4 linked regions of the Caenorhabditis elegans genome follow. The protein of the gene in region 1 interacts with the protein of each later gene in a pairwise test. Each region holds a gene or a part of one and is shown on either strand. Other genes may lie near its edges.

Region 1 (5,774 bases):
GCAGCCGAGCCGAGGATGGTGAGAGCAGCTCAACAAATGATGCAGCTGGCACAAGATTCGTAATCGGCGAGCTAGTCGCATGCACCTACAAGGGAAAAGTATATGACGCGGTCATCACCGACATCAAGCCCGACAAGGATGGAAAGGAGTGCTACTGCATTCACTTCAAAGGATGGAACAATCGTTACGATGAGCAAATTCCAATCGGCGAGGAGACAGACCGTATTTTTAAAGGGATAGCAGATGGTTACCGAGCTCCAGTTGTCACAATGCGCAAGGTACTGCTCAGAGAATATTGAAGCTTTAAATAATAAATTTTGCATTTTCAGTCCGCTAGAAACCATGAAAAATCCACAGAGCCTCAAGCGACGAAAGAGAACGCTCCGCGGCTAGTCGGAAAACGTAGAGAACAATTCATAATCGGTGAGCAAGTCACGTGCACACAGAACGGAAAGCCATATGACGCGTACATCGTTGACATCATAACCGACACTGATGGGAAGGATTTTTACTGCGTTCACTTCAAAGGATGGAACAGCCGTTACGATGAGAAAATTCCAGTCGGCGAGGAGCAGGGTCGATTGTTCAAGGGCTCGGCCGCGAAGTACGCAGAGATGCTCGAGATGAAGAAGTAGATGGGATCTGCTAATAAATTGTTAAATTGCTAAAATTTTGTGTTTGTTAATTGTTCTTTTCAAGCTATTTGTACAATGAATTCTTACCGAAATTGACAAGTTCATATTGTATAAAATGCTGGAAATATTAGCTTTTGACAGACAAGAAACAGGATAGATGGAGAGAGAAAGGGGCACCCATGAAAAGCGAAGAAAAGGGGAAATAAATTAGGCCAAGAAAACCAGATAAATTAAATAAATTATTGTTCGCTACGAATCAAGCGGTTGTACAAGTCGTCGACCTCCTTCTTCACAAGTGGCACGATGATCTCTCCATCGTTATCGATATAAGCTCCGATAGATTTCGTGATTTTTCCCTGTCCAGAGCGTCCTTCCTTCTTAAACTCGGCCGACAGCGTGTACTTATCGTCGTGAGCCTTGATCTCCGAGCTCCACGCCCATTTTCTCGATTGTTTTCCGTCGACTTCGGTGGCCTCGTAGATGCAGTCCTTCTCGACGTACCACTGATACATTTGAAGAATTCCCATGCATATGAAGTAGGAAACCGAGCACACGGCGAGCACGATTTTCGACTTTGGGAACGGCTCGTAGTAGTCGTAGCCGCAGGCGAACGCGGAGAACGCGACGCCGATGAATGAGATGAGAAGACGCAGATTCATTAGATTATGCGATTCCGTCCATCCGACTTTGTCGTTCAGAATCTGAAACGAAAGATTTTAATTTTAATTTTAATTTTGGAGTTTCGGAGAGCAAACCTTTTTGACGACTTCATCAAGGGCATTCTTCACTGTTGGACCGTCCCATTTGTTCACAACTTTCACCGGCTCGTCCGTCATCTGAAAATTAATATATTTGAGAATAAAAATTGAATAGAAATCCAAAAAAACCCAAAAGAAATGAGCAAAAAGCTAGTGGTGACGTCTCAAAATTGGAAGTCTGCATTATTGCGTCGTGGTGTTTGCGTACTTTTTCGTGCGCGGCGCTATTGCATTTGCTTAGAAAACCGCGCCGCAGGGGGGTTTGAATTGCGAAAATGCCGTTGAGCTTTGAGAAAAGCTTTTTTTTTGTTTTTATCGATAAATTTATCGAATTTTCGATATTTTTAATCTATTTTTTGATTAAAAATCGTTCAAATATACATCATTGGCTAGAATTGCTGCTAAAACTCGCTTAAAACACCAATTAATCGATTAATTTCTTTAATTCCTTCAGATGTCTTCAAAGAAGAACTTCGAAGTCGGCGAGAACGTCGCGTGCATCTACAAAGGCAAACCATACGATGCCAAAATTACTGATATCAAAACCAACAGCGATGGCAAGGAACTCTACTGCGTTCACTTCAAGGGCTGGAACAATCGATACGATGAGAAAATCCCAGTCGGCGAGGAGAAAGACCGCATTTTCAAGGGAACAGCCTCGGAGTATGCAGAGAAACACAACGCAGAGCTGCCAACAACTGCATTGAAGCCGAAGAAGAAAAGTCTTGCGGCTGAAGCACCACGAGACGATCGTGATGACACTCCGGGGACGTCGAAGGGAAAAAAGGCGAAATCGGTGACAATTGCGCCGGTTATGACCGCCGACGATATGAAGGTCGAGCTTCCGAAGCCACTGAGAAAGATCCTGATCGATGACTACGATCTTGTCTGCCGTTATTTCATAAACATCGTGCCACACGAGTATTCAGTTGATCAAATCATCGAGGACGTAAGCATAAAAAAAATTAAAATATCATTTTTTCCGATTTTCAAATCCAACATTTTCAGTACATCAAAACCATTCCGGTCAGTAATGAGCAAATGAGAACGGTCGATGATCTGCTCATCGAATACGAGGAAGCTGATATAAAAATCACGAATTTGGCTCTGATTTGCACCGCGCGTGGACTCGTCGACTATTTTAATGTCACTTTGGGGTTGGTTAATTCGAATATGTTAAACAGATGCATGCAAATTGCACGTAGCCCAATGTTTAGTACCACTGCAACTTTTTTCGAACGAGGGACGAGGAAAAGCGGTTTCTAGCCCATGGCCGAGGGGCCGACAAGTTTCAGCGGCCATTTATCTTGCTTTGTTTTCCGCGTGTTTTCTTTAATTTTTCATAGACTTTTCCCGTTTTTTTCTTATTAAAACTAAATAAAAGATAAATAAATATTTTTGCAGATGCCAAAACAATTTCCAAGTGAAAAAATTATGTATTCAGTCGGCAAGTAGCGGTGAAAGTGCTCAATGTTATATGATGGATTACGGGAATACTAAATCTAAACCTTTTCTGAAACATGGTATATATTCTGCTTAGAGACTGAAACTACCCGATTTTCATCATAACGAGACCGCTGAAAAAGATTTGAGATTTTCAAAATTCAACTTTTTGTGCAAAAATCTCAGAACTTTTTGAGCGGTCTCGTTATGAAAATCGAATAGTTTCAGTCTCTAAGCAGAATAAATGCCATGTTTCAGAAAAACGATTAGGTTTAGTATTACCGTAATCCATCATATAACATTGACCACTTTCACCGCTTCTTGCCGACTGAATACACAATTTTTTCACCTGGAAATTGTTTTGGCATCTACAAAAATATTTATTTATCTTTTATTTAGTTTTAATAAGAAAAAACGGAAAATTTTTTTGAAAAACAAAAGAAAACACGCGGAAAACAAAGCAAGATAAATTGCCGCTAAGTCTTGTCGGCCCCTCGGCCATGGCCTAGAAACCGCTTTTCCTCGTCCCTCGTTCGATAAAAGTAGCAGTGAGTACACATAATGCCCTCCGCTTCGTAGAATAGTCGCCCCAATCCCACTTGAAACAGTTACGATGTAAGGATGAATTGTTTAGTTCCAGCTACCAACTGCTCTATAAGTTCGAGCGGCCACAGTACAATGACCTTGTCAAAAAGCGAGCTATGGAGAAGGGAATCGACATCACAAACCCGACCGCCCTGCAGGATAGTGGATTCCGTCCATCTCAAGAGTACGGAATTGTGCATTTCTTGAGAATGCTCGCAAAGCTCCCGGACTACCTGAAGCTCACTCAATGGAATGATCATGTTATTAACGTATGTTCGAAGTTCAACTCCTGGAGCGTCTCCTGAATCTGGTTTCCACACGGAATCTGTTTTTTTTTGGCGAAAAGGTGTAAAATTTGGAAAAATTAGGCCGAAAATTGGATCGAAACCGTCAATTTTCTCGATTTCAGGATCATAAAAAATCCCATTTTGTAGGGAATAAGCAGATTCACAAAACATTGATTTTTAAAATTGAAAAATGGGGAAATTGCCTTGTTTAATTTTAAAAATCAATTTTTTTTTGTGAATCTGCGTTTTCTCCACAAAATTGAATATTTTACGATCCTGAAATCGAAAAACTGACGGTTTCGATCCAGTTTGAGGCCAAATTTCCAAAATTTACATTTTTTCAATGCGTATCATTTTTCTCAACATTAATATAAATAAAAAATAGCAAAAAAAAACGATTTTCCGTGAATTCAGGAGCCCGAAATTGCTTTAAAACACGCCTATGGGACCACAATGACAGAATATCATGATAAAAAATTCAAAAAAATTTTATAAATTTTATATGATTTTTTGAAAATTGGAAAAATCTCAGTTTTCACCTAATTATTTTTGAATTACCGTCAATTGGATTTGTTCGATGGAGCGAGCTTGCATTATTTTCATTAATTAATTTTATTTTTTCTCGTTATTTGACTGGTTTTCTTCATTTTCTATGTTTTTTCCTCGGAAAATGAAAGAAATAAATAGGACAAATGCGAAATGTTTGTTAAAAAGTAATTGAAAATGCGTAAAACTGTGATATTCTGAGTTCCGACAAGCCTGAGATTAGTATATTTCACAGTTTTACTCATTTTCAATTACTTTTTAACAAACATTTCGCATTTGTCCTTTTTAAAAGCATAGAAAATGAAGAAAACCAGCCAAATAACGAGAAAAAATAAAATTAATTAATGAAAATAATGCAAGCGCGCTCCATCGAACAAATCCAATTGACGGTAATTCAAAAATAATTAGGTGAAAACTGAGATTTTTTCAATTTTCGAAAAATCATATAAAATCTAGAAATTTTTTTTTGAATTTTTTTAATCATGATATTCGGTCATTGTGGTACCATAGGCGTGTTTTAAAGCAATTTCCCCACTGAGCGTAGTCCCATGCTCCAAAAATAAAATAAATCAATTTTCAGCGCATCATGATTGGAGTTCACGATTTGATTGTGTTCCTGAATAAGAATCACGGGAAGTACTACAGAGGATCGTCTGATTATCAAGGTGCCTCCAACGACTACTATCGCCGATCTCTCGCCGCCGACGACGGAGTTGGAGCGAATCAATAGACTGATCTCCTTCATCATGTGTTCCATCCCAGACGATCTTCAATACACCGATATAACTTCAATAATTTTATACATTGTTCATTATTTTCCAAAGCTAGCCCCACCATTATGTTTTTGTGAAATCGTGGAGATCCATATTTTGTTCACGTTAATCTCACGTTTTCTGACGACTTCCACATTTCGCATTCCATTATCGTTCAATTTTCCGTTTAGTTGTTTCCCAACTATTCTAATGAATATGATTCTCATTTTCTTTTCAATAGCCCCCCACATTCATATTTTTCCAGATTCTTCTTCTCTTCCAACTCCCCGCCATTTTTAGCCTATCGAGATTTGATATAATGTCTGCGTGCCCCCAAAACTATTCCATCTCGCATTCCACGTGCCAGACTGGAAAGAAGAGGAAGACTGAAGATTTTTTTGAATATTAGAATATACTTTTTTCTTCCGATTTTGAAGTTTCATGATTAAGATGGTTAAATATTGAGAATGCTTATTGAACAACATAACTGACCCGCAAAATATCTCGTAGCGAAAATTCTTGTCGATTTACGGGCTCGATTTTCGAATTGAATTTATTTTTAAATAGTGACAGCGATATTTAATTTTCTTCTATCACTATTCAAACAATTCAAAAATCCGGGTCCGTAAATCGACACTACAGTAGTCATATTACTGTAGTTTTTGCTACAAGATATTTTGCGCGTCGGATATGTTGTTCAATACGCATTCTCAAAAATTACAAGAAGTTGTCTTTTTTTGAAAAGAAATTTTTGAGTCTCAAAGAAAA
Region 2 (6,372 bases), 4.5 Mb from region 1:
CTCGAAGTTGTCTGCTCGGCAAGATGCTCGGAAAACCTATATTTTCACAAAAATTGATGGGGAAAGTGAGATGATTAAGAAAACCAAAAAAGCATTGGGAGTTGGGGAGAACGAATCAATAATTGTGTTTTTGAACAAGGATCGAGTGCATCGAATTCCAATTTCAAAGCCTAAATGCCCTGATCATCTTCAGAAAATTCTCCAGATGATTATTACATCTGAAGCGGATCGTGAGTTTTTCCAGATACTTAGCCATACGCGAAGTTTCGTGATTTTTGTTGAATTTAACAAAGAATTCATCGTGCCGAGACCGAAATTACAGAAGTTCTCTCAACAAAAGAGCCACATCCATTAAGATATCTTCAAGTTGAAAAAGTGAACGAAGTATTCGGATTCGAGGAGACTCTTGTTCTTCCAGATCACACACTTTTCCTGGATTCCGATGTAAGTAAAAGTTTTGTTTCCAGTCAAATAAAATCTCTTGAATTTTCAGCCATTCTCTCGTCATCCACCAATTACAGAGGGTGGTGGTGGTGGTTGCCCATTTATGCAAGGAGGTGGAGCACCAACAGAATCTAGTCAACATTCAGAACTTTGATATATTATCATCATGCATAATTTTTGAAACAAGAATAACTATTACTATACATTTTTAATAAAATGAGAAAAAACATAAGAATTTACAACTTCAAAATTATATCAATATCAACTTCAACAAAGTTCATAAACTTGTGGATGTGTGCGTGCCGTGGCATCATCACGGAGATTCAGAGTATCAGAACAGAATTCAAATAATATAAGCCGACTAACTATAGAGATAGTGATTCAATAACTTGATAGGATGAGACAGTTTAAGATAGAAGCTTAGAAATTGCGCTGTGAGAGGTGGGGGGAGGGGAAGGGACCAAAACAGAGAAAACGGAGGACAGAAACCCATGTTGAACTGAGAGATTGAGAAAATGAGGAAATTTACTAAATAATTTAATGGCGGTTCTAGATGAAAATACGATGGAAGTCATTGGCTCCGAAGTTGCTGTTGCATTTCGGGCATTTCCGTTGACGAGTGTCGTACCTGGAATTTTTTGAATCATAAGCTAGAAATGCGAGATATCGCTTGAATATGTATTTTTCGTTTTACTCCGACGCGAAATTTCAAGCTGAAAATACACGACAAAATGTTTTGTTAAATGGGAAAAGGTGTGCGTCTTCAAAGAGTACTGTAGTCTCAGACTTTTGTTTTAGCGGAATTTTCATAACTAGTTGCACTTTTTTATTAGTTAAAAGATTGTGAGAAATAGGTATTGTAATACCAAATTCTCACAATTTGTTAAAATTCGGGTTTTTTTTAAATTTCATATTCAGTTGACATTTTTTATCGAGAAACTATGAAAAATTGATGAAAATTTCGTAGCATCAAGAGTTTGAAATTACAGTACTCTCTAAAGACGCGTGTCGATACATTTTTTTTAATTAAAAATTGAAAATTTTTGCGTCTAGGTCAAACCAACCAATTTTAGTGTTTGAAAAATGAAACTAACATAGTCTTAATGCAAGTTTCACAGAATAAATGATAGCATTTGAGCATAATACAATCCTTTGGCCTCGTTTTACATGATGGACAAGTCAGTGTTTCTTTCATTTGTCGATTCGCTTCCTCGAGGACTTGATCACCACTTTGAGCCGGTACAGACTCATTTCGTTTTACTCGTTCATATTTAATTCGAAGCGTCTCAAGTTCCTCTTCAGCACGTTGTCTCTTGAATTTAAAATCTTCGATTTCACGTGCCTTGGCAGCGTATAATTCTTGAATTTGCTTCATTTGACCTTCACATCGATCCGCTTTAATTTGGTTTTCGTCTCGTGACATTCCAACTTCTTGAATGTTCTTTCTATGTTGTTCCATCAAGTTTGTGAGACGTCTAAAAAATGATATTTTAATTTATGGATTTCTTAACATTCAAAACTAACGTTAATTCGGCAGATTTGAACTGAACTGATTCCGACAGTTTAGTTACCAACTCTTCATTTGCTTTCTTCTCAAATTCGTGCATTTTTGCTATTTGAGCATCTGTTTGTGCTTTACTTTCCAAACAAGACAATTTTTCACGCAATCGATTAAATGTCTGATTCTGAATCATTCGATCATTCATCATTTTCAGATTTCGATCCTCCTGTTCCCGCTTCTCAATGTACAGTTGAGCATTCCGTTCTTGTTCTTCTTCTACAGCTGTTCCAATGGCTTCTAACTCATCAGATATGCATTCTTCGTCATTAGTCAGCATTTCATTGGTCTTACGAAGAGTCTCCAATTCGGACAATTTATCAGCAATTTGACGATTGACTTCTTTCTGTAAATTCTCACACGGGATTGTAGAGATATGAACAGACGCAGAAATAATGTTTTAGAGTTTACTGAAAGTACCAAATAACGAAAGGACGTGTACTTTGAAAACACATTTTTGTCAAATAAGGTACAATGACTTACTTCGACTTGTTTCTGCTTCTCCTGTTTTTCCATTGCTCCCAGTCGTTTTACTTCTTTACACAAAGATTCGTATTCTTGACGAATTTTATTAACATCTTCCGGTGGAGCATTACTAACGTCTTCAAGAGGAACAAGTAGACATTTATCCTGGGCTTCTTTCAGTGAAGTTAACTCAGACTTGAGAGTGTTGATATCTTTTTGAGATTGCTTATCCTTTTCGCGCAAACGAATTTTCTCTGATTTTAACGATCTATTCATAGATCGTAGAGTATTCAAAGTTGCTTTCATTTCATCCCACTCGCTTTGCTTCACCGTCTTATTATATTCTTCCTTAACAGTTTCGAATTCGCAGCGTAGAACTTCACTGTCATGAGATACTTTGTAGAAAGAATTGTGAATATCCGATTGACATTGAATTTCCTTCAGCGTCTTCTGATGTTCTTCAGACATTAGCATTGCACGAGCTTCCTTTGCACTGCGGAAAGCATCACGTTCTGTTGTGATATCTTCAAGATCTTTGCTGACTCGCTCGTATTCTTTAATTGCTAATGAGTAGTACTTTTTAAGATTCTTGTATTCCTCCGAGTTGACAATTGAATCCACAGAGAAGAAAGTTTGTGTCTGCAACTATTTCAGAGGTAATAGAAGAAATTCGGGTAAAAATTTCATATTTTTGTAATGGATAAAAATTAATATATAGTCAAAACGGTACCTCTAGTCTTAGCTTGCTATTTTCCTGTGTTAATGTTTGAACTTTTTTATTCATCTCCTCGAGATCTTGAAGGCGTCGTGATGCAATGGATTCCTGTTCATCTCGTTCAAGACGCAGATTTTCGATCTGAAATTATTTTTTAAAAATGCGTTATTCATTTCGATTGATAAAAAATTTTTAAATCTCACTTCTTTTGCAGCTGTTTCACTTGGTGGAATATCTGGAGCTGATATCTTCTTCTCAGTAGCATTTGTTGTACCCGACGAAGACGGTGTCGCCCCTCCGTTCCCTCCAGACTGTCCCTCCGAGACGAGGGTGGCTAGTTTGTACTCAAATTTGTTAGCAAGACGCATATGTTTGTCAGTTTCAAATCGGGCATCTTCCAATTGATGTTCTAATTCTTGAACTCTGTTCTCTTGTACAGAAAGCTTATCCGTTAGAATACGCTTTTTCCGTTCCAAATTGTAACAATCGCTTTGAACTTTGGTAACTTCGGATTGAAGCTTTTCATTTTGTATAGCTAAACTTGCTGCTTTGGCTGTAAGCTCCTTATGGACACCATTTGGATTGAAGGTAGGAGAATCGATCAATGTTTTTAGTTTATCGATGAAAATGGTGGATTCGTGAGCCCGATCGTGGCGCGCTTTAGCATACGATACGAATGCATTCCGTCTATAGAAATATGTAAATTAAGAGTGAATTTTAATAATTTAAAACTCACAAATTCTGCTTTGCCTGATCAAAGAACTTGTTATATGTTTCATTAGTCATTCCAAGAACGTCTATACCAGTTGGTGCAGTGTCTCCTCCGATGTATTCTCCAAACTCATTCTTAGTTTGTGTACATATGTATTTCTCAATCTGAAAAAGAAAATAACTAATTGCAATCTGAAAATAAGTAAAAACGTACATCTGAGAACATATTATAAACCTTCAGAAAGTTGCTTTCGTCTGTCTGCTGCCGCCTCTTGGACCGTTCATTTTCTTTTTCCAATTCGGCTATTCGCTTATTTTTGTACAACAATTGCTGCTTTAATTTAGATGTCTGATAAACTACGGCACGAGCTCTTATATCGTTCTGAAATCGTTAGGGATTATTAATAGTATCCTCGATTTTAAATGAAAGACATACCACGTTGCTAACAGCGGGCATTCGGACCGGTTCGAATTGAATTTTGCGTCGTTTTTGTTGTCCATCGTCACTCGGGCTACTTGCATAATTTTCTCCTCCTATACCTTCATTACTTCTTTTCATCATACCTGAAATCAATACGTTTCTAATATTGTATACAAAATGTTAAAGAGATGGTAGAAAGCAGGGAAAACAAGGAAAAGATTTTAAACATATTAACGGATACTTAATCAATGTTTTTGAACAGATTTGATGACAATTTTATTGTTTTTGGAGTGCAAAAAAGGTGATTACAAAAAGATTTCCAAAGAGACATTTCAAATGGCACTCTTTTCGTTGCGAGACCTGAGTGAGAGAGTGTGTGACTACGGTCAAGAGACGGAAATGGGGTAGATTTACGACCGAACAGCATTTACGAGACTTGCGGGACTTTCGAATTCTTAATTCGTTTTTTTCTCCTCAAATTTCGGTCTTTCGTCCAAATAACAATGGTAAAAAGGATTTTTGTGCAAGGATTGGATAGCTATACAACGGAATCGACAGTTAAAAAATATTTTGAACAATTTGGAACTTTATACGAGTGCATTCTACCTCCTCCTCCTAGATATTCGGTACAGAAACTCTTGTTCTGATAGAAAATGTCATTATTTTCATTTTATAGGTATTCGACAATGGACCAGACGAGGAGAAAATTTCAACACGATCATCGATTCGATATGAGCCTGTGGAAAATGATGATGTATTAGATGACGAGCTCGATGTCGAACGATACGATGTTGAAAAACACGGCGATTTTGAGAGTTACATGAGTACGTAAGTTCGAAAGCTTTTGAAAAAAGTAAAAATGCCGAGTTCCAGAAAAAATTGGAGAAGGTGAAGCATTTATCAAAGAGCCGAGAAAGACTAGCGCAGGCTACGCCTACATCACTTTCGTTGATTCGAACGGATATTCAAATTGCATGAAATCAGATATTCATGAAATCGATCGAGCCAAATGCACTGTTGAGCCAGCAAAAGATGAAAATGATAAGAAGTTGAAAGTAGAATCAAAACGACTTTTTGTTTCTTATTTTCCACTAGACAGATTAACTTCAAAAGAACTGAAAATGAATTTTGGAGCCTACGGAAAAATCACAGATGTAGAATTTGTCAGTGTAAGTTTTTAATTATTTGTATGTTTATTTCATGTTAATTTTTATTGTTGCAGGATTCAGAAGGGCCGCTTCACTTCTGCATTATAACTTTCGCAGACTCCAGATCTGTTGATGTTCTTCTAACCAAGTCAATATACATCAGGGTGAGAATATAGAATGCTTTCAAAAAAAGATGCGACTAATTCTTCAACAAACAATATCAGGCGTAGTCATCAGGACTTGATTGCAACCTCGTATTATAACGCGTTATGAAACATTTTTCAGGATGTTCTGATGTTCACCCGACGTGCTGTATTGAAGGAGTCCGTTAAAATAGCGGAACATAAGATAAAAGAGCAGGAACAACAAAACCTCGTGCAACTAGTAAGTTTTATAAAGTTTAAATAAATTATCTTGTAAAACGTGTTTTAAAATATTGCATTACATTTTCAGCCTCCAAATCACACTGCTTATCTAACGCCGTCACGTCCCGTAACTTCTGTACATGCCTCATCATCTGCTTCATCAAATCACTATGATCCATCTGCAGCAGCAGGATATGCACCACTATATCATCAACCACCAGAATCAGATCCATTGTCTCAATGTGGCTATGGACCGAGAAAATGGTAGCTGTGATGATCAAACAAAACTCATATATCTCAAATTACGGTTTCACTTAATTCGAAGTTTACGAACATTGATTTTAAAAAATAAAATTGATTTATCTTCGAAGTTTCATTCTCTCGTAACTTCCTTTATTCTCTACTAGTGAGCGCAGTGAGCGAATGTTCTGTGAGTGTTTGAAGAGGCCGTCCGTTGTCCCTCTGACCGAGAATAAAACATTATACAAAATGAAGAGAACACAGGGAACCACGGATGTATCTCTGTGTCTCTTCACGATGCCAAT
Region 3 (4,247 bases), on another chromosome or scaffold:
TTAATTTTCGTCCATTTTTTGAGACCCGAAGAACTCGGGGGATGTCCAATTGGGGGGATTACCAACTCGGGGGATTGGCCCCGCCCACAGAACCGTGGCTTGCAATACGCCCATTTCTGCCGCACGGTTTTTCATAACTGCCGCACGGTTTTAAAATTATTTTTTCTTGTTATTTCTCGCTCTATTGAGAAAAATACAGTTTTAAAACCGTGCGGCAGTTGCAGAAATGGGCGTATTGCAAGCCACGGTTCTGTGGGCGGGGCCAATCCCCCGAGTTGGTAATCCCCCCAATTGGACATCCCCCGAGTTCTTCGGGTCTCAGACTTCTGAACTTTTCGCATGGTTAAGAACGTGCTGTCGTAACACTTTTTGTATATTTCTATTAAACATCGTTTTTTATGCTGGATAGCTGTTTTATTTCTAATAATAAAAATTGAAAATATCTAACTAGCATTCAATTTCAGATGATACAGCGAAGAATGACCCTGAAAATATTAGCTAGGAGACATATTACAACTTAAAACATACGAAATGTAAATTTGTTTCCGATTATCAACAAAATTGTACATTTTAACGATATTTTTATCAATAAAGACTAATTTTTACATATAAATGTTAATTTAAAGCAAATCCGTGACTTGACGTGATGGTGTTTGCACACTTTTCACCACAATATACGACATTCAAGTTATATGCATTTTTTTCAAATGATTCTATCCTTTCTTTTCAGTATTCTTTACGGTTTTATTGATCAATTTGTCACCAGTATAATCGATCATGTTTTATTTCTCAATAATTGTAAAACAATTTTTCAGATATCGGCCCAAAAATGCCCGTAGACTCGAAAAAATTGGTCAAAAAAGCTTGTCAGCACATAAAACCAGTTGAGAAATTCGAATGCGAGACACAAAGAAGTACTACAACTGATGGGTAGGATCTTTGAATGATTTTCAAATTAATCTTTATTATTTTCAGCGAAACTATCAAATTCGATTACATGTGGGCGACACATTTGAGTGATGAAGACTTCGAGTGGGTGTTCAGTTTATTCAAAGAGAACATGTACGATATGTATCACAAATCCCAGTGGGGATACGATGAAAATTCCAAGCGAAACGAACTTCGTGCAACAACATCAAGGTTCATCATCGCGAAGAATTCGAAAGGGGATAAAATTGGCTATACCACTTATCGATTTGTGGTCGATCACAACATTCCTGTGGCATATTGTTGGGAACTTCAAATTGTACCGGCTTATCAGAACAAAGGAATCGGTGGCATGATGCTCGACACGCTGGAAAAGCTCTCTTCAAAGTACAGTTTCAATTAATTCGAGAGCCAATAAACAAAAACTCTTATTTTCAGGACAAACATGAGTAAAGTCATGGCAACAGTTTTTCTGTATAATGGACCGTCGCTCGGCTTCTTTCACAAACATGGATACAACAGCGACGTGACGTGCCCATCCGATGATTCTGGTCTGGATTATGCGATCCTGTCGAAAGAGACACCGAGCACATAAGAATATTAAATTCTGATTCTATGATTTTCTAATTTGTTATCATCTTCATTCTGGCTTAATTGTTACATGTATTTTTTTTTGGGTAAACAAACGTTTTTTATATTTCTACTTTTATAATATTGTGTCGTAAAAACCGTTACTTTTCGTTCAAATATTTATTTTCAAACCAAAATATAAACATTTTTGTAATAATCTTTGTAGATGCCTCATCCTTGGAACACTGCCGATGCATTAGACGATAGTCGGGTACAAGTTGAGCACATTGATTTAGTTCCTCCAAAGTATGCAAATGTACTCAACTTCAGATCTATTAAAACTAGAGATTATTATTTTGGTAAACCATGTTCTGGGCAATTAAATATTTCAATAACTTTTCTTCAGCAATGAGAGATCGTCATCAGCAGTTGGGCGCAGTCACATCTTCAAAAGCTGAAACTGACAAATTGAATAAACACTGTGAGGAGAACACGATAATGGTGGATCAAGACGGAGTAGAAACTCCAGCTGATTATGGAACAGAGAGGATGGTTGCACATGCAATAGAAGATCACCGACTTGCCGCCAATTTGCAACGAATAAAAGTTCATATTCTGAATGCAGTTCAACAAAAATCAATTCAAGCTATTCGTGACCGCCGAGGACTTCTAGTGGATGCTCCAACTGGAATCGGGAAGACTTATGCGTTTCTTATTCCGGCGATTGAAATTGCATTGAGGGAGCGACCATTGCTTACCAATATTTCAACCACGCCATCACCAACTATTCTTATTCTTGCAAATACCAACTCACTCGTTGAACAACTTTTTAATCGTTGTGAAGTTCTTCTTGGTTTGATAGATATGGAAGATATTATACCTATTCGAGATATTAAAATTGAAAAACTAGTTGCTAGCTATCAGTTCACAAAAGGTTCGTTACAGCATTCGTCTAACCAAAAAAAAACGAATTCTTTATAGATCAATGCGATATTGCGTTCTGTACGATGGGAAAGCTGAAAGCATCGATCGAGGATAAAACAATTCTTCTTGACAATTTGAAAATGATGATTTTGGATGAATCTGATAAAATGATTGACATTGCATGCTTCGGAAATGACATTGATTGGGTTTTAGACCAACTACAAGAGGATGTGCTCAGAAATCTTCAATCTTGTTTCTTTTCTGCGTCTCACAACAGAAACGAAGATGGTTCAATTGCATTAACTTCACGTCAATCAAGAATGTTAGGTGAAAATCCATGGTCACTGATCCATTGTCCGAGATTGCCTGGATATATCACTCAACGAGTTATTCGAATTGGTGGACAGCGAGTAAATGATATCCATTCGAATCCTTGGATCGTTAAGATGAATATTATTTGTAAATTGTTAGATGATGATCTCAAGGAAATGGGAAGCACAAAAGAAGGCCCATGGAAGCATACTATTGCAATTTTCTGTGAAACTGTCTCAAGAGTTATTCAGGTTTTACCCCTATTCTTTCGATTTTAAAAATATTGAGAACATTTTCAGGTAACTATGGCACTTCGTCAGATGGGATATAATTTCAAACCTGTATGCAGTAGTGTGTTGAAACAACAACAAGCAATCACTTTGAATGATTTGGAGTTTTGCAACATTCATGGAGTTGTATGTACCAATATTATGTCGAGAGGAATCGATGTGTCTTCTGTGAAACAGGTAAGTTTACATATATATTAAATTGATAAAAACATGGCTACTATTGACCCAAATATTTTTTATCTTAAGTCACATATTTCAGACAATAATCATGGAAATGTCCACCGATTTTCCGAGCTACATGCATAGAATCGGACGAGTTGGTCGCGATGGATGTGGTGGAAGAGCTACTGTCCTCATCGATGAGCATCATTTATTTGGCGGACCAATGTCGAATATTATCGAGCAGCTGTGTTCTTTTATGCTCGAATGCGAGGAAACGCTTCCCAATTGGCTTGTAGAATGGCTGAAGTTGCGTCAATCACTTTAATTGAATCACATATCAATTTCCTATTTTGTGCCGGTTTTTATCGCTTTTCTATGTATCTGATCCTGTATTTTATATTCATTGAACTAATCGAACTCGTAAATAGGTTTTAAAATTTTTTTATTATAAAACAAGAAAGGCTATCCAGCATCAAAATGGATGCTCAATAAATTAATAAAACAATCAATTAACCCGAGAGAATAGGAGAGACTTGAATGCGGGGGAATTGTGATGGAGTGGGGGCGATTGTATGAAGCGAGTTGAAAAGCTGTGCACGATTTGCTTAGAGCTCATCGTGTCCTTCCTCCTCTTCCTTCTCCTCCTCATCATCATCCTTCTTGGCCTCCTTCTCCTCCTCGGCCTTCTTGCGAGCCTCCTCCTCAGCCTTGCGGGTTTCTTCGTCGGCCTTCTCCTTCTTTTCCTTCTCAACAGTCTTCAATTTGTCAAAAGTCTCGGCAGCATGGGCCTCGGCCTCCTCAACAGAGTCGGTGATGATAATGTTGTCAAAGATCGTTCCTGACTTGACCTGAAAAAATAAAGTTTGAGTTTCATTTTTGAAAAATAGAATAAAAGTTTCTTACCTGCCACAAATCGAATCCGATGGCTCCCCAGCTTTCATAAGAGTAGAGTTCATCATCAGGAGTGTACTCTGGGTTCTCAATCTCTGGATGGATCCACTTGCCCTTGTAGGCTGGGTTCTTGATCTGCTTTGGCTTCCACTCACCCTTGTATTCTGGGTT
Region 4 (3,104 bases), on another chromosome or scaffold:
TCGATTCGTGTTTGGCAATGGGACCGAACGTGCGGCGAAAACAATGCTGATCGCACGGCGATTGCACGAGCCTCGAATTATCTTAAAATTGCACAAGCACTTGCTGATGACTAGTTTCAAGTGATTAATTTGTACTCTATTCTAAATATCTCAATTTTTCATTGTGATCTCTTGTGTAACATTATTCAACAAAAATTAAATTTTTTAAATTAACCCACTGTAATAATGTTCACTTTTTATTTGGTTTTAAATGGTTATATACCATTTTTATACTTTATTCATTGTGTCAGTTATATGTTTTTTTATAGTCTATAGCATTTTTCAGAATGGGTCGAGTTTTCAAAAAGAAAGGAGGTGCTAAACGTGAAGCCGAAGAGGAGAAGCAAGAAGAGTTGGTTATGCGAAAGAAGTTGAGAAAAGAGGAAGAACCAGAACCAGTTGAAGACGTAGAAGAAGATGAAGATGTGAGCGATGAGGATGATGAAGATATTGACGATGAAGAAGAGGATGAAGATGAGCAGAACATTATGGATTTCGATTTTGAAGCATATCCACCATCGGAAGATGATCGTGATGGTATTGTGAACATGCTCACTCAGACATTCCTAAGAACAGATATTGACTTGAAAGCAATGTCAGAAGGAATCATCGCTAAAGCACCTCATGGAGTCGTCTTGACTGTAAGTTTTAGTGCATAATTATGTAGTCTTTAAAAAAACATTTTCAGCAAGCTTACGACGATGAGGAAACCGAAGAAGATTATATGGCTTACGGGTTATGTACAACAGTTCCTCTCAATGATAATAAGGATGATGCTCCAAAGTTTATCAAAGACTTATTCACATATGTTTTGAATCGTGCAAAGAAAGGAGCTCCTACTGAAATTTACAAGAAAATTGAAGAAATTCAAGTTTCTGGTGATGGTAAATCGGCGTTGTTTGTCAACGAAAGACTTCTCAATTTTCCGACTATTGTCGTTCCTCAAATCTTTGGAAGCATTCGTGAAGATTTGTCCGGCTTTGAAACGAAATATAAAACTATCATCTACATACAGAAACTGCGCATTGTTGAAACTGATGGATCAGAAGCAAAAGTTGGCGCCAGCTCAAACGGATCTAGTGGAGTAGCTGGAAAAAAGAAAGGAAAAATGGGAAAAGCCGAAAAGAAGCGAGCTGCTGCGGCTGCACTAGCAAATGCTGAAATCGAATTCGACAATCCAGAAGATAGAGTTCTATTTGAGGTGAAATAATAAGGAATCAACTAAATAATTTTCAATCGATTTTATTTTCAGATCAAAGAAGGAAAAGAAATTCATTTCGACTATCCAGTTCACATGGATGTAGAGCCTGGAAGTAAATTCCACAGTACCGAGAAGGATGGAAAGAAATGGAATCCATTCCGTCGCCTTGTCATCATGGATGACAAACGTTTCGATGCATTTTTGAAGAAAGGATCCGATGGAATTATAATTTAATTCTTTTGATATAACTTTATGTTAGATCAATTTTTATACAATTTTTACTGTTGCTGTTGTTGTTGTGTTTTTTATTTTAAAAATAACTTTCTTATTGAATCTAGACTTTCATTGGATTTAATATTTAGTTTATTCTAAATTTATGTTACCTTTTTTTAAAACTTATACGCTTTATGTTTTCTTTCTTAGTTATTTCTAGATGAGAGTCCTTACAAAAAAGACAGAAGAAGAAATTCGTCGTGATTTTTTCGGACCAGTTCAAGAGGCGGCTTGCAAGCCTTATCTTCTAGGTAAGTAGTCTTGTAGCTTCTTTTTTTTTAATGGTCATTTTCCAGATGTTGATCCTCGAAAATCGTGGTGTGAGCTGTCAGAACTCCGTCTGAGCACTTTAATCTGCGAGTTTAAACCGATCGGAATCAATAAACATTTTCATCTAATTGGAATAATTGAACGTATGGGAAAAGTGTTTGACAATGAAAATGCTCAAGTCGAAATATTTCTAAGCGGTCAGTGAACTACTCGTTTAATGTTTTTTAATGATAATTTTTAAGAAGAGAACAGAGTTGCATTCCGTAACCAACAAAGAGACCTCTTGATGGGAGGACGCCCAGAACGAACTTCATATCCGCCTAAATACTTGTGTCGTCCTTCACTTGAAATGATCGAAGATAAGCTCAAAAAATGGTTCGGTCTGAGATTCTGTGAAGAAAATGAATCGTATCCAAGCGAGTTTAATAGTGTCACCGATTACGAACTTCCCGAGTATATCATGGCTGAAGTGCGCGAGGTAATTTTGAAACAATAGATATTGCTTATTTTTGTTCATAGCTTTCAGATAAGAGAGCAGAAAGAGAAAGAAACACAGACAACGGGATCGTCGAGTCGGAAAAGAAGAGTACCATCCCCAGAAGATTGACAGAAGAAGATGAAAATTATGACATTCAAACTTAAATGATCTCTCTATGATTCCTTCTACGCTATCTAATTATAATTCAATGTGTACCTTTCTTTCATATACCAATTGCAAAATATCATGTTATGTATTCCAATTTCTGTTTCGAATAACAATTATCATTTTTCATAGAAAAAATTTATTGGATAGTGTAAGACACAATTTGAGTCGATTAGTTAGAGGTTGTGGTGGAGACGAGTGGGCAATTAAAACTAGTACCGGCTTTCAGATTTGAAACAAATGCATATCATAAAATGATTGAAAAGTTATACTTTTGGAATGGCAATCTTCAAAGCTTGATCCAAATCAGCAACCAAATCATCGAGATCTTCAATTCCAACAGAGATACGGATAAGGTTATCAGTGATTCCAAGAACAATTCGAGTTTCAGCAGGCACTGAAGCATGAGTCATGATAGATGGAAGCTCGGCAAGTGATTCATATCCTCCAAGAGATTCAGCCAAAGTGAATACTTTGAGAGCAGAAAGGAAAGCACGACTCTCTTGAAGTTCTCCTTTAAGATAGAATGAGATCATTCCAGACATTCCCTTTGTTTGTTTCTCATGAACTTCATGTTGTGGATGAGATGGAAGAGCTGGATAGAGAACTGATTCGATACGATCATTGGCTTCAAGGTATTTGGCAACAGCAAGAGCATTTTCATAGTGAGCTCTCATT

Evidence for each region.
Region 2: the proteins of mrg-1 (region 1) and rfp-1 interact in a two-hybrid assay, tested with the Caenorhabditis elegans proteins (2 studies listed by BioGRID).
Region 3: the proteins of mrg-1 (region 1) and smut-1 interact in a two-hybrid assay, tested with the Caenorhabditis elegans proteins (one study listed by BioGRID).
Region 4: the proteins of mrg-1 (region 1) and ZK1127.3 interact in a two-hybrid assay, tested with the Caenorhabditis elegans proteins (2 studies listed by BioGRID).

The regions. Positions count from the first base shown.
Region 1 is NC_003281.10:12,870,728-12,876,501, reverse strand, and holds mrg-1 (Mortality factor related protein 1), read left to right. Parts: upstream 1-1,847; coding exon 1,848-2,342; intron 2,343-2,401; coding exon 2,402-2,550; intron 2,551-3,470; coding exon 3,471-3,690; intron 3,691-4,834; coding exon 4,835-4,984; 3' UTR 4,985-5,228; downstream 5,229-5,774. Other genes in the region: cec-7 (Chromo domain-containing protein), read left to right, coding at 1-278, 330-635; spcs-2 (Signal peptidase complex subunit 2), read right to left, coding at 875-1,336, 1,391-1,471. UniProt on the Caenorhabditis elegans protein: Protein involved in the remodeling of chromatin thereby regulating various processes including transcription, chromosome synapsis and genome integrity.
Region 2 is NC_003281.10:8,356,710-8,363,081, reverse strand, and holds rfp-1 (E3 ubiquitin-protein ligase bre-1), read right to left. Parts: upstream 4,461-6,372; 5' UTR 4,456-4,460; coding exon 4,330-4,455; intron 4,276-4,329; coding exon 4,108-4,275; intron 4,059-4,107; coding exon 3,919-4,058; intron 3,870-3,918; coding exon 3,386-3,869; intron 3,324-3,385; coding exon 3,198-3,323; intron 3,107-3,197; coding exon 2,486-3,106; intron 2,358-2,485; coding exon 1,969-2,357; intron 1,920-1,968; coding exon 1,539-1,919; intron 1,073-1,538; coding exon 994-1,072; 3' UTR 599-993; downstream 1-598. Other genes in the region: R05D3.9 (uncharacterized protein), read left to right, coding at 1-230, 323-444, 494-598; Putative RNA-binding protein R05D3.8, read left to right, coding at 4,818-4,940, 4,991-5,138, 5,188-5,483, 5,537-5,626, 5,748-5,846, 5,916-6,095. UniProt on the Caenorhabditis elegans protein: E3 ubiquitin-protein ligase that mediates monoubiquitination of 'Lys-117' of histone H2B. H2B 'Lys-117' ubiquitination gives a specific tag for epigenetic transcriptional activation and is also prerequisite for histone H3 'Lys-4' and 'Lys-79' methylation.
Region 3 is NC_003283.11:6,095,382-6,099,628, forward strand, and holds smut-1 (Synthetic MUTator), read left to right. Parts: upstream 1-1,723; coding exon 1,724-1,856; intron 1,857-1,903; coding exon 1,904-2,431; intron 2,432-2,478; coding exon 2,479-2,984; intron 2,985-3,032; coding exon 3,033-3,200; intron 3,201-3,282; coding exon 3,283-3,510; 3' UTR 3,511-3,702; downstream 3,703-4,247. Other genes in the region: Y38A10A.7 (N-alpha-acetyltransferase 40), read left to right, coding at 830-930, 976-1,314, 1,366-1,522; crt-1 (Calreticulin), read right to left, coding at 3,791-4,033, 4,089-4,247.
Region 4 is NC_003280.10:7,053,624-7,056,727, forward strand, and holds ZK1127.3 (EAF7 family protein), read left to right. Parts: upstream 1-1,663; 5' UTR 1,664-1,673; coding exon 1,674-1,764; intron 1,765-1,809; coding exon 1,810-1,980; intron 1,981-2,025; coding exon 2,026-2,261; intron 2,262-2,302; coding exon 2,303-2,425; 3' UTR 2,426-2,550; downstream 2,551-3,104. Other genes in the region: ZK1127.13 (Phage tail protein), read left to right, coding at 1-114; ZK1127.4 (Protein BCCIP homolog), read left to right, coding at 327-680, 728-1,240, 1,292-1,474; cth-2 (Putative cystathionine gamma-lyase 2), read right to left, coding at 2,693-3,104.